2 linked regions of the Xenopus tropicalis genome follow. Each later gene encodes a partner of the first gene's protein in a complex. Links are inferred from orthologs where the notes say so. Each region holds a gene or a part of one and is shown in the gene's direction. Other genes may lie near its edges.

Region 1 (7,541 bases):
GTGTATGGGGACCTTTAGACGTCAAAAGGAACTCCGGCACATGGGTTTAATGTTTAAACAAGGATATCTACTGTGTTTATTTGTTAATTTGTTTGGCTTGGCGCAAATAAACACAGGGGATATCCCTATTTAAGCATTCAACCCTGGTGCTGGAGTTCCCTTAAATTTCTATGTATGGTGGAGGTGCTGTCCTTCTTAAACTCTGAAGTACCAGGGTTACCCTAGGTGTGCATTTGTTTCTTAAGGTCCCCATACACGGGCCGATTGTAGCTGGCGATATTGGTCCCTTTGACAGATTCGGCAGCTTATCGGCCCGTGTAGGGGCAGGAACGAGGGGCCTGCCCAACCAGGGCCGGATTTGTAATCCTTCCGCCCCAAGGCCGCCCCCCTCCGTCGCCCTCCGCACATGCGCACGATCGGCACACCCCCACCATGCGCATGCGCGAACGTGCGATCGGCACCGCCCCCATGCGCATACGCGAACGTGCGATTGGCACCGCCCCCTCCCCAACGTGCATGCAGGGTGTAAACATTCGCATATGGAGCAGTGGGGGAGAGGTCCCCACTGCTCCATATGGATGAAAAAGCTTAAGATTGTGGTGCGGCGGGGTGGCATGCCGCCCTAGGCCTGGGCCTTTGTGGCCTCTCCACAAATCCAGGCCTGTGCCCAACCGATATCTGGCCTGAAATTGGCCAGATATTGACCGGGCAGGTTAAAATATTTAGTCTGATCGGGGACCGCATTGACTCGTTGATGCGGTGCCCGAACCGACTGCCCCATTGCCACCATTATAATTCCCCCTGGGGCCAAATGATCGAATTAGCTAACATTTTCCCCGATATTGGGGATATCGGGAGAAGATCCGCTCGCTTTGCGACATCGCCAAGCGAGCGGATCTTGACGTATATGGGCACCTTAAGAATTAAGAGACCAATTAGACTAAATTGTTCAGATTTCATTGTACTCATAAGAGAAACCAATTTGACTAAAGGTCGCCATAAACAGACCAACGCCCTCTGGTATCCAATTTGCTGTCGGTTGAACAGATTGAAAATGTATGGGTGGCCTTACAAATTCATGACCCCCTTCCTATTATTTCCCTTATTCGGAAATGCACTTGATGACACTGTGCATAGGAAGATGAAATTATCAAACGTGCGATCTTTTAGCCAAAATGGCCTTCAGACTTGGCATATATGTCCAGATGCTTGGCCAGTATTACAAACCATTTTTTGTTCGCTAAAATTTCACTGCAATTAGACATCATTGGTCTGTCGGCCCTGTACAGTAGGGAAAAGTTTAGTTTAAGAATCTATGTTACTGGAATACAGCTCCCAACATGATTAATCCTATCAGAGTTATAATATTATAGGATCCCTTATCCGGAAACCCTTTTATTATTACAGAGAAAAAGGAAATCATTTATAAAAATTAGAAATATTTGCTTATAATAGAGTCTATGGGAGATGGCCTTTCCGTATTTCTGGATAACAGGTTTCCGGATAAGGGATCCCATACCTGCATTGTGTATTGTTTTTGTACGGAAGCCTTAAGCCGCAGTAGCTTATGGCATCACTTACAGAAAGTATTAAAAAAAAAACCCAATGCAGAAATTAAATCTATAAATTAAGGTGAAAAACTATGAAAACATCAGTCACTTTATTTTATTTAGTTATAATTCAGGCAAAAGAACCCCAGACAGAATCCCCAGCTGATATCCCCCAGTTACATCCTTTTCATTGTTAGAATAATGATTTTGCCGGAGCATCCAATGAGCACCCGTTAGGGGAGGAGATGTCATTCTGGAAACGGAGATCTATACAAGGCAACTAGTGCTTAATCTTCAGCAGCAACGAAATCTGAGATTCCAACATCGGCAGCAGCAGCAGCAGCCTTTCTCATACGCTCACACAGGCATTTCTGGGAAAGTACTGGGGATATATTGTTTCATTACAATCATTCTTTTGTTTTATTGACTTTATTCTTTAGTTCCCCTTTATTATCTGCCTCACCATTCATTCTCTGCAAGATTTCAACCAAGGAACTTCTTCACTTGCTTCTATAGACCATTCATTCTCTGCAAGATTTCAACCAAGGAACTTCTTCACTTGCTTCTATCCACCATTCATTCTCTGCAAGATTTCAACCAAGGAACTTCTTCACTTGCTTCTATAGACCATTCATTCTCTGCAAGATTTCAACCAAGGAACTTCTTCACTTGCTTCTATAGACCATTCATTCTCTGCAAGATTTCAACCAAGGAACTTCTTTACTTGCTTCTATAGACCATTCATTCTCTGCAAGATTTCAACCAAGGGACTTCTTCACTTGCTTCTATAGACCATTCATTCTCTGCAAGATTTCAACCAAGGAACTTCTTTACTTGCTTCTATAGACCATTCATTCTCTGCAAGATTTCAACCAAGGAACTTCTTCACTTGCTTCTATAGACCATTCATTCTCTGCAAGATTTCAACCAAGGGACTTCTTCACTTGCTTCTATAGACCATTCATTCTCTGCAAGATTTCAACCAAGGGACTTCTTCACTTGCTTCTATCCACCATTCATTCTCTGCAAGACTTCAACCAAGGAACTTCTTCACTTGCTTCTATCCACCATTAATTCTCTGCAAGATTTCAACCAAGGGACTTCTTCACTTGCTTCTATCCACCATTAATTCTCTGCAAGATTTCAACCAAGGAACTTCTTCACTTGCTTCTATCCACCATTCATTCTCTGCAAGATTTCAACCAAGGAACTTCTTCACTTGCTTCTATCCACCATTGATTCTCTGCAAGACTTCAACCAAGGAACTTCTTCACTTGCTTCTATCCACCATTCATTCTCTGCAGGATTTCAACCAAGGAACTTCTTCACTTGCTTCTATCCACCATTCATTCTCTGCAAGATTTAAATCAAGGAACTTATTCCCTTGCTTCTTTTCTTCTACCTTTTGTATTGTCCCCTTAAGAAACTTGGCTGTCATTCTTGTATTCTTTTTATTGCTTCTCTGTCTTCTGTATTTGTACCTCAACTTTTCAGTTGTAATCATCTCACATTCAGATTTTTAGGAGGATGGATGACCAGCAGAACATCACTTTCATGTGGCCAAGTCATCTTCCTCCGGACAACTCCATGATGAGATACCTCAACAGCACAGAGGAGTACTTGGCTTACTTGTGTGGTCCAAAGCGCAGTCGCCTATCTCTACCAATGACTCTAGTCTATGCAACTATATTTCTTATTGGAGTCATCGGAAACACACTCGTATGCTTGGTCATCCTAAAGCATCACAATATGAGGACCCCTACCAACTATTACCTGTTCAGCCTGGCAGTGTCTGACCTCCTGGTTCTGCTCCTTGGGATGCCTCTTGAAGTGTATGAAATGTGGAGCAACTACCCTTTCCTCTTTGGCGCCTGGGGTTGCTATTTTAAAACAGTCCTTTTTGAAACAGTCTGCTTTGCCTCCATCCTAAGTGTCACCACTGTTAGTGTCGAGCGGTATGTGGCCATCATCCACCCATTCCAAGCCAAGCTGAAAAGCACTCGAAGCAGGGCTCTCAAAATCCTGGTCACTCTCTGGATCTTCTCTATTCTTTTCTCCATCCCAAACACAAGCACACACGGTATCCTATTGCAGTACTTTCCCAATGGGAGCCTTATCCCGGATTCAGCCACGTGCACCGTGGTTCAACCTCTGTGGATTTATAACTGCATTATCCAAGTGACCTCGCTGCTGTTCTATATTCTTCCAATGGGGGTTATAAGTGTCCTCTATTGTCTGATGGGAATAAAAGTAAGTTCCCCTACCTTGTTTTGTGTGTGTTGAGGGAATATCAGACTAGTAGAAGTCTAAAACAACTGCATTTTTCTGAATTTTTCTTGAAAACATTTCATCCAAGTGGCTTCTTCTGAACTGAAGAAGCCACTCGGATGAGTGGTGAAACGTTGTCAAGAAAAACTCAGAAAAGTCCAGTTGTTTTAGACTTACTTTAGACTTACTTGTTTTAGACTTTTAGGCTTTATACTGTATATCATGACCTGGATGAATGAGAAGCTTCATAGAAATATCAGAACTGCTCTTTCTGCTTTAAGTTCAGAGATATGACCATTGCTGTGTTAACATAAGTGAAAATGTATATTTCATTAAAACTGCTCTCTGACATGCAGACAATGTTGAACTAAATGCTACCTCCAGGGAGAATCTATGCTTTATTTAATTGCATGGTAAATATCTGTACAGAAATGGCACGGCATTGCAGAAAGGAAGCATTGCATAATGTTACATGAAGGCAAGACACTAAATACAAAGGGTTAAATAGTTACATTATTTGGAAAAGAAACCTTTTCAGGCAGGATAATATAAGCAGGAGATCCCCAAGAGCTTGCAGTTTATGTATGAAAGTTATTTGGTTTTTAATAAAAAAAGACACCATATGTTATTTAAATTCTTTTTTCTGTATTTTTCCTATTGGGTTTATTTCATGGTTAAATGATTCCCTTTTCTCTGTAATAATAAAACAGTACCTGTACTTGATCCCAACTAAGATATAATTACCCCTTATTGGGGCAGAACAGCCCTATTGGGTTTATTTAATGGTTAAATGATTCCCTTTTCTCTGTAATAATAAAACAGTACCTGTACTTGATCCCAACTAAGATATAATTACCCCTTATTGGGGGTAGAACAGCCCTATTGGGTTTATTTAATGGTTAAATGATTCCCTTTTCTCTGTAATAATAAAACAGTACCTGTACTTGATCCCAACTAAGATATAATTACCCCTTATTGGGGGCAGAACAGCCCTATTGGGTTTATTTCATGATTAAATGATTCCCTTTTCTCTGTAATAATAAAACAGTACCTGTACTTGATCCCAACTAAGATATAATTACCCCTTATTGGGGCAGAACAGCCCTATTGGGTTTATTTCATGATTAAATGATTCCCTTTTCTCTGTAATAATAAAACAGTACCTGTACTTGATCCCAACTAAGATATAATTACCCCTTATTGGGGCAGAACAGCCCTATTGGGTTTATTTCATGATTAAATGATTCCCTTTTCTCTGTAATAATAAAACAGTACCTGTACTTGATCCCAACTAAGATATAATTACCCTTTATTGGGGGCAGAACAGCCCTATTGGGTTTATTTAATGGTTAAATGATTCCCTTTTCTCTGTAATAATAAAACAGTACCTGTACTTGATCCCAACTAAGATATAATTACCCCTTATTGGGGGCAGAACAGCCCTATTGGGTTTATTTAATGGTTAAATGATTCCCTTTTCTCTGTAATAATAAAACAGTACCTGTACTTGATCCCAACTAAGATATAATTACCCCTTATTGGGGGCAGAACAGCCCTATTGGGTTTATTTCATGGTTAAATGATTCCCTTTTCTCTATAATAATAAAACAGTACCTGTACTTGATCCCAACTAAGATATAATTACCCCTTATTGGGGCAGAACAGCCCTATTGGGCAAAACAATTTTATTGGGTTTAAATGATGTTTAAAAGATTTTTTAGTAGACTTAAGGCATGGAGATCCAAATTATGAAAAGATCTCTTATTCGGAATACCTGGGTCCCGGGCATTCTGGATAACAGCTCCTATACCTGTATAATATCCAAGGTTCTATTTCAGCCAGGGCACTACCTGCAAGGAGCTTGTATGTTCTCCCTGTACTTTTCTGGATTTCCTCCCACTCTCCAGAAATATACATGCAGGTTATTAGGCTCCTGATAATGATTAACTGGGGCAATGAATGATTTATAATCTCTGTTAACTTCCATGGAATATGCCAATGCTATATAAATGAAGGATAGTAATCATCTTTAATATTCTGCAAATATCTACATAGTAACATAGTAAGTTAGGTTGAAAAAAGACGTACGTCCATCACGTTCAACCTTAATGCCTATATACAACCTGCCTAACTACTAGTTGATCCAGAGGAAGGCGAAATGTTAAATATAAAATAAGAGATGGGGGACCACAATATAAAGAAGTTAATCAGGAATGTCCAATCTGCAGCCCTCTAGCACTCCATTTCCAGCACTCCCATCCGACTTTGGCTCTCAGTGGAACAATGGAATTCTATACTGTAGGTCAGTGATCCCTAACCAGTGGTTTGTAGGCAACATGTTGCTCACCGACCCCTTTGATGTTGCTCCCAGTGGCCTCAAAGTAGGTGCCATTTTTAAATTTATGGCTTGGAGTCAAGTTTTGGAAGCGTTCAGACCCAGTTTAACTCCAAGTAGAGGCTCCTGCAGGCTCGCAGTCCCCATGGAGCTACCAAATAGCCAATCACAGTCCATATTTGACACCCCCAAGGACTTTTTTTCATGCTTGTTTGGCTCCCCAACTCTCATTACATCTGAGTGTGGCTCACAACTAAACAGGTTGGGGATCCCTGCTATAGGTAGTCATTCAAGAACAGTAACTGGTAGACCAAACAGTGTAACAGAGATATGTCTTTTGGAATATAACTCCTCTGTCATTCTGTTATTTGGTAAATGGCTGATACATTTATTTTGTTAGTGTAAAACAGTCAAACCCATGGCTAGTATAGGTTTAGATCATGGGGTACATGCGACTCAATCCTTCAAGATGGACCTTCGCTATGTGGAAGTGACCAAGGAAGCCAGGGGGTGTAGTGGAACTACAACTCACTTTGGCTGTGTGCAGTGCAATTTAGCAAAAATGGACACCAGAAGGTTCTTGCAGTTGAACAATAGAACTGGTTTATTTTCAGAGACAATCAATGTGCAGGGTTATTGCAATATACTCACATACAGATGGTATATGATAGTAGTACTCTGAGGACAGCAAAGAGAGGATGCACACCGGTTTATCCCACCTCCTTTAGAGTCTGGGCAGGGTAAATGCACCACAGCTTGGCACCTATATGGAAGCAGTCAGGATAGATACCTCAGGTTGAATACCTCTAGCTTGAGAGTCCTACAGCAGACTGTGGATCAGGGTTGCGATACTGCCTATCTCCTATGTCTGAACCGTGGCCCTATGCTGAGGCAACAGTGCCTGCATGGAAGGTACTTCCAGCTACTTTCCTTGGTGGAGCCGAATCTGCTCTTGCTTCCTTCCCTCTCTATCTTACTATTATTGCACTAACTGGCAGAGAGGATATTAGAAAATGGTTCAGAGACATTCTGATCCAATAGTTTTATGAAGGTGCAGATGTGCATATAATTGTGTCCAGACTGCAGCCCCGTGGAACTTATGGAACTTATGGAACTTATGGCATTAGCTTATTGAGTTAAAGACAATGCAAGCACAATTCTGCATCTCCAAATCTTCCATATTTTTTTAGTTACAATTCCCAGCATACTTCTAATACACTACTAATATAATGATATCAAATTTTTGGCCAACTGCATAGTGGTGACTCTTCTCTGCTTACTAGCTTCATTTTCTGAGCTTTTCTGAGGTTTCTGTGCTTCTCAGGTTTCTGTGATCCGTAACAGAGGGCAGAGACCTGCAGCAATTCAACTAGTGTGAAAGGCAAAGT
Region 2 (6,985 bases), on another chromosome or scaffold:
TCCATATATGTCAACTGGCTGAATAGGGCAGAATTTAGCTAAGCCAATGGGTTTGTATGACAAACTTTCCTTGCCATGTGACTTTGCTGAAAACTTTGATTGATGTGGATAATCACAGATCAGCCCAGGCAGAGAACACTTCTAACACACAATACAGTGAGAAGCCATTTTTGTAAGACATTTGATGTAGCATAAAACCACCTTTCCTTTCCATTTGAGCTTTGTGCCATAATTTCAGTAGTGACATTTTAATGTTTCTTTCCTTTATACACTGAATTCCTTTGTGTTTGTTCCTGCATAAAATCACTACTTTACTTCACAAACTGTATTTGCATGCTGTAAGTGGATGTTAAACCTCCCTTGAAATGAGGCATATGCAAATTGTATTAGTCTAATGGAGAGGCAGGCAAAATCTCAGAAATAAAGAGGGCTAAGTGTTTTATTTAGTAAGTGTATGGGGGCCGGACACCTGGGGAGATTTTTTCCCTGTGATGGTATACAAAATTATAATGAAGCTCACGCTAGGAAAATTTTGAAAATGTCTTTACCATTCCTGTATTTTTTTACGTCTTATCATTTTATGGTTTTCACGTTACTGTATTAATTTAAAAAAAAAAAGATATAGGGCTTTGTAAAGTTCTTCCCAGAGTAGTTTTGCATGCTGATTTATACATTTATAGTTGCACCAGTTCCTTACCAGTAGCAGCAAACTAATTCCCAACTCTAATCAAGGGTAACAGCTAAGCTGCTCATGCATGCTCTCATCCTATCCCGACTTGACTACTGTAACCTGCTATTAACCGGCCTCCCTAACTCCCATCTTTCACCCCTACAGTCTATATTAAATACTGCTGCCAGAATTCTCCTCCTCTCATCCAGGAGAGTTCAGGCCCTTCTGCTGCTAAAGGCCTTATCATGGCTTCCTATTAAACAAAGAATTTCCTACAAACTTCTTCTTCTAACCTTCAAAGCCCTCCATTCCTCTGCTCCTCATTACATCTCTTCCCTTGTGTCTCTGTACGTTCCTGGCCAACTCCTTCGTTCCTCGCAGAGCAATCGTTTGGTTGCGCCCCCCACTGCTACTGCTGTTTCCCGCCTTAAACCTTTCTGCCTTGCTGCCCCTTACATTTGGAATGCCCTCCCTGATTTCCTCCGAAGAGAATCCTCCCTCAGTCTTTTTAAAACCAAACTAAAAGACTAGCTTTTGGAGCACTCGCCCAGCACCTGATCTGGGAAATAGCACTTATATTGTAGTGTCACCCACTGTGACCTACAGCACTTATATTTACCTATTTGTGTCTGTAAGTTACCCTCCCATATAGATTGTAAGCTCTACAGGGCAGGGACCTCCATCCTCTTGTGTCTTTGACTCTTAACCTATTGCAACTGTTACTTTATCTTGTATTTATTTGTATTTATTGTTATACTTTGTATTTATCTATTATCTTATTAACCCCCTGTTTGTATTAATGTATTCTACTGTACAGCGCTGCGTACATAAGTAGCGCTTTATAAATAAAAATATACATACATACATACATACATACAAGAAATGAAAGGAAGAATGTATTTTGCTGCTATTGATAACTGCATAGATGTAAGTTTGCACCGGAATATTTAATTCCAGAAGAGGTAGCAGTCCTGTTAATAAAACAGCTCCTGGCCTTTTAAGGGAGTAATGTAATCACAGGAACGAAGTTTTTTCCAAGTCTATCCAAGTCATGGCAAACTTTCAGCAACTAGCCTCTACTAGTCTTCTCTGTAGGAGCATATATCTGATTAGTTGTGAGTTACTAGACCTAAAGCAGACTTTGTGCCTGTTATTACTGCACCCATTTTCTGTAATATGCAATGTAGTAACTGGTTCATTTAGCTGACTTTTAGATCAGGACATGGCTATCATAATTTGGGGAAAATGTTTAAAATAATAAAACTTGATATGGAGCTGGGGGATACCCTCAATATACTAAGGGCAGGTTTATTAAATTGTAAGTTGAGCTTAATACATAAAAACTCACTCCCCGTTCTATTCATTCCTATTCATTGTCATGATAAATCTGCCTCTAAAAATCAGATTTATGGATTATTATATTTTTTAACAAAAGGTAATGATGCTTACCACCTGTTAAGAACTGACCAATCGATTTTCATTTATAAGCATCTTTTCTACACCTCCTCATATGAAGGATCGTGATAAAGAAGCATACCAAATTGAGGTTTTATGAATAGATAGTGCTATAGGTGTTTTATAGGTCAGTACATTTCAGCCTGCTGGGAATCCACTGGGTGTTTCTACCTCTTGGTTTCAGATCAAAAAGATTTTGACATGTGCAATGCTCTTTTTAAAGATATTATGTAATTTTCCCTCTTTTCAACAGCTTGGCAATGATTGTTCTACAATCCTGTCAGATTCACTGGTGAGTATGTACAATGATTTGTTTTCTGCCTTTCCTTCTTGATTTTTTTCTACTTGATTTAAATGGAATAAATTCAGTACTGAGCCTGCTTTCACTGTGTTCATTGCAGGGACCCAGCACATTAGAAGAGCTGTGTTTCATGATTATGGGCATTCTGCAGAAGTCTCAGGTAAAGCAAGGTTTCATTCGTAAGTGACTTATTCTTGGCATTTGTCTTCTGTTCTCCATTAACATCTGTACTTCATCCTGTACTAGGCCCCGAAGAGTAGACCATAAAAGGGAGGGGATTATTAAATGTAGGTGGGATTGGGATATGTTGGATCAGTGCTACAGGTGTACAATAGATATACATTTTATACATTATATACATCTTGTCATAAGACAACAAGATTTTGGTTGGTTGGAGCAATTCAAGAAGCATTTTGGACAGTTGGCTGCATAGGTTTAAATCGATTCTGGTGCTTTACCTTTAAACCATTTCAAACCATGACACATACTACGAGACGTGCTGAACAGAGCATACAGCACCTTCTACCTTTGTCATGGGCATAAATCTGACTTGATAAGGAGATTAATGGTTTCTATAGCTGCCCGATAAACAATTATCCCCAGAGATATGCACTGACATAATAAGGTATCTAAAAGTAGTTAGAGGACCAGCACTCCCTGTGAATATGATTATATTTTCTTTATTAACACATTGCACAGAGGAAGTCAAATGTTTCAGTACTCATTAGGACCTTTATTCTTGATAAAGGTCCTAATGAGGACCTAACAAAGGATGCACTGCCAGAGATGCCCTTTTGGCAGGTGAAATAAATGAATAGTAAAAATAGTAATGTTTAGTACATGAATGAATAGTTCATGAATTGTAGCATGAAACTCTATTCATTGACTGATCTATAACAGAACCCTCGGTGCTGGCACGATACAAACTTATAGTATATACTACATGCTGGTTTGTTGGTATGGGCTACTATAACTTGAGCATACTTTACACCTATTATTTTATTCCTCACCCCCCAAAGAAAAATTGGCACCTCAAGTGATGGAGCTTTGGACATTAACTTGGTAAAAAAAATGTCCCTACCATATAACTCTGACATGCAGCTGCTGTGTCGTAAATACTGATGCACAAGTTCTATGAGGGTTAATAAAATATTTTTTGACTGTATTCTTTGCAGGGTTCAGATGAAAAAGAGGAGAGCAAAAGGGTAAGTAGTGTACTGTACAGAACACATACATTGTCAAGATAGCCCTTATCCATGGACTGGTTCAGTAGTAAAATAGAATTTTAATTTTTTTCCCTGCGCAGTTCTTATTTCATTATTCTAAGAGTCATGAATCAGGCAACTCAGACATCACGGTAAGTTGCACAACCTCTGAGGGAACCACACTGAAATAGTCACACTAGCACTCTACTGGGGTTAGTCCTGTCCGCTCTACTAAGTATTAGTGTATATATGTCTTCACATTTTGGCCAAAAGGAATATACTAAAGCAAAATGCTTTTCAACATAAGGCTATATTGTGGTGACTTATACTAGTTTTAACTTTACAAACAAATACATTGAAAAGCCTTTTTGGGATAAGATATTCGAATAGTATGGTATAATATACAAGGAAACATAATCAGAAGTTACACTTGTATTAAAAAGGACTGAAGAAGTTTCCCAGTAGACCATTAGTAACAATTTTTAGTTTCACCCACTGGAAAATGCAGGAATCATCACGAAATAAACTTGGTTCAACTATTTAATGTGCTCTAAAATGAGCACATAAACTAGATTGGATGGCAGGGTGCAAAAAAAAATTGTGCCTGCTTTTTGCACTTTTGCACCCATACTTCCATTTCATAAATAACCCCTTACAGAATTACAGAATTCTTACAGAATTGACATGGATTTGTTTAAAATTGACATCTATAAACTCCACATCTTATAACTGATAACATGGAATACAGTGTAGTGCCCAACTTTATTATGTTTTCTCCCACAAACCACTGTTCCTCCCAAGAATTCCAGCTTACAACTAGACACAAGCTATGCATCAAAACCCATGCAAAATGTGCATCCTACTGTAAATTGTATGCATCAAGTATGGGTGTCAATGTTGGTGACACGCAGGCATGCCATGGTCATACCCATATACACCTTTTATTTTTCAGTATTCTGCTGCACCAAAGTAACTTGTAGGAGTAAAGCGTTATTTGAACCCTGAACTGAATGGATGCTCTTTGGATCCTATTATGTTACACCTTGACACCACGTGCTAATTATCATGGGCCAAATTATTTTAGTTATTGTCCCAAGACAGCTTGATTTTGTCCAGACAAGTTTATCAGTCACACACAATAAATCTTCTCTACCATGGGCGACTAAAGGCTTTTAAAAAAGGCTTTCACACTAGAAATAATGCAAAGCTCCTGTGGGAAACCATATCCGTCACTTCAATTTTGGTAGTAGCCCAAGGTTACATTGCGACTTTGCAAAGCTGAAGGGACGTGTTTTCCCACCAGCGATTTACATTATTACTGGGGGAAAAACAGTTCAAGAAGATTAATCGCCCATGGTAGAGGGGATTTAACTTGGGCAACAAATCTCCATGTGTATCATCACCCTAAGTGGCAGATTTATCAAAATGTTAGAGTAGCGTTTACCACAGAACATTCACACTCACCCACTATCTATTGATCCCCATGGGATTTTTAGAAGTGTATTTATCAAATGGTGAACTCTAACTTTTACCCATTAATAAATACACTTCTAAAAATCCCATGGGATTTTCGGAGCATATTTTGGTGCAGAAACAAGCAATTATCCATTTTGGCAACAAAATCTGCTCCATGTTCCTGCACCAGGGCCAACACAGTGAGAAGGCTGAGTAGAGTAAGGGCTGTGGATAAATGCCGGCCGTGAATCAATCCCCTGTGGCAGTAGCCTAAAGTGAGACTGGTGTTATAATTAGGGTAATGGCATAATGATTACTTGTTTAGTCATGTCTTTATAGCTTGGTGACATCAAGAAAACCACCCCAAATTGCTTCTGAAGTTCATATTGAAACCCTGGGAGGGGGCTTATGGGTCCGCCTGTTTGGCTAATTTAAACAAAGCCTTTAATAATTTTGTTCTAACTATGTGATAACCCAGAAACCTTTCAGATAACAAACTTTGGTGTTGCATGTTTGTGTCCCTTATTCTAGTCTCCAGAAACACACTGCAGTATGTTGCTTATGCAGATACTGTTGAGAGGGCAACAGGAACATGCGTTGCAATCAGATTAGTTATACACAGTGGGCACTTGGATTTCTGTATTTTATACTGATACTTTGGATTCATAAACAAATATTGCTGTTAAAAAAAATTATAGTATGAAAATATAGATGAAAAATCCATTTTACATATATTCTGGTAACTGACCCAGATTCAGTATTTCTCCAGGTTGTCTGGTTTATTAATAAAGGGGTGGTTCACCTTTCAGTTAACCAGTTCTTAGCAAATTCTCAATTGGTCTCAATTTTTTATCATTTTTAAATTAAAAAGGTTTGTGGCTACATTTCATTGTTGCTGTTAATTTTTATTTCTTAACTTTCTATTCAGACCATATTCATATTCCAGTTTCTCATTCAAACCACTGCCTAGTTGCTAGCAACCATATAGCTGCTAAAATTTACCCTGGAGGGTTGCTGCATATAAAGCTAAATAATTAAAAAAACACAATAATTAAAAATGGAGACCACTTACAAATTGTTTTAGAACTACATACTAAAAGTAATTTGAAGGTGAACAACCAGCTTAACCAATTTTTTAAACATTTTTTTGATCACTGGGGAGAAGCAACCCATCATGATCTCCTGTTCCACGATCATTGCTCTTTAGGTTACCTATTGTTTTAATCAGAGGTGGGCCAAGCCGGCCGGGCGCCCTAGGCAACCCGGTAGGCCACCTCGCCCAACCACCCTCCCCATGCTTTGGCACGCATACGCAGTCCAGGGGGGCGGCTTGCAATGCGATGGGTCATTGCCCCCACCGCTAATTACAAGCGGCGGGGCCAATGGCAAAGAAGGAGGACTAGCGGTAGGCAGGAGAGGCTCCTGCCTGGCGCTCCATAATCATTGTGCCCTAGGCAGCTGCCTCTTCTGCCTACCCCTAGTTCCGGCCCTGGTTTTAATACAGCAAATTTGAAAGCAGCTTTCTAACTTACATAAAACTTATGTTTAATCTAAGTCGCCTCTTCATTTCCAAAAGCCTGTGTGAAGTTCTCAGCTTCTAATTTTTGTGGAGGCATCTATGTTATTGCTTGGTGGTCATTATGTGTGTATGTAGCAGGCAACTGTCTTTATATATGTCTTTATAGCTGGCCATATCAGCAAGCTGTAAATATAGGATCAGGGTATGTGCGAGTGCTTGCATGTCAGCTTGTGTGTCACCTAAAGGCTTAATTACTTCAGCAAAGGAGATTATGAGTATTGTCCACGTACAGAATGGTCTCCCCTATGTATAGTAATTAATAAAGCAGATATCAGTATTACTATAGAATAAAAATAATTAGCCCTAAGTGATAATGCTGC

Evidence for each region. The genes of interacting proteins can lie anywhere in the genome.
Region 2: the proteins of nmur2 (region 1) and nmu are in contact, whole or in part, in a cryo-EM structure (PDB 7XK8), measured with the Homo sapiens proteins. The link is inferred for Xenopus tropicalis from reciprocal best matches to the Homo sapiens genes NMUR2 and NMU. Residues at the interface, in NP_064552.3 of Homo sapiens: Ser42, His43, Gly98, Glu102, Glu105, Met106, Trp107, Arg108, Asn109, Tyr110, Pro111, Thr123, Phe126, Glu127, Asn181, His185, Pro199, Ser201, Thr203, Cys204, Val206, Tyr213, Phe284, Arg288, Phe291, Glu295, Trp297, Ser298, Glu299, Ala302; in NP_006672.1 of Homo sapiens: Glu146, Phe152, Ala153, Ser154, Gln155, Gly158, Tyr159, Phe160, Leu161, Phe162, Arg163, Pro164, Arg165, Asn166.

Annotation. Positions count from the first base shown.
Region 1 is NC_030679.2:12,967,634-12,975,174, forward strand, and holds the start of nmur2 (neuromedin-U receptor 2), read left to right. Parts: upstream 1-2,388; 5' UTR 2,389-3,077; coding exon 3,078-3,800; intron 3,801-7,541. UniProt on the Homo sapiens protein: Receptor for the neuromedin-U and neuromedin-S neuropeptides.
Region 2 is NC_030677.2:40,451,191-40,458,175, reverse strand, and holds part of nmu (neuromedin-U), read left to right. Parts: intron 1-2,378; coding exon 2,379-2,417; intron 2,418-2,526; coding exon 2,527-2,586; intron 2,587-3,601; coding exon 3,602-3,631; intron 3,632-3,732; coding exon 3,733-3,783; intron 3,784-6,985.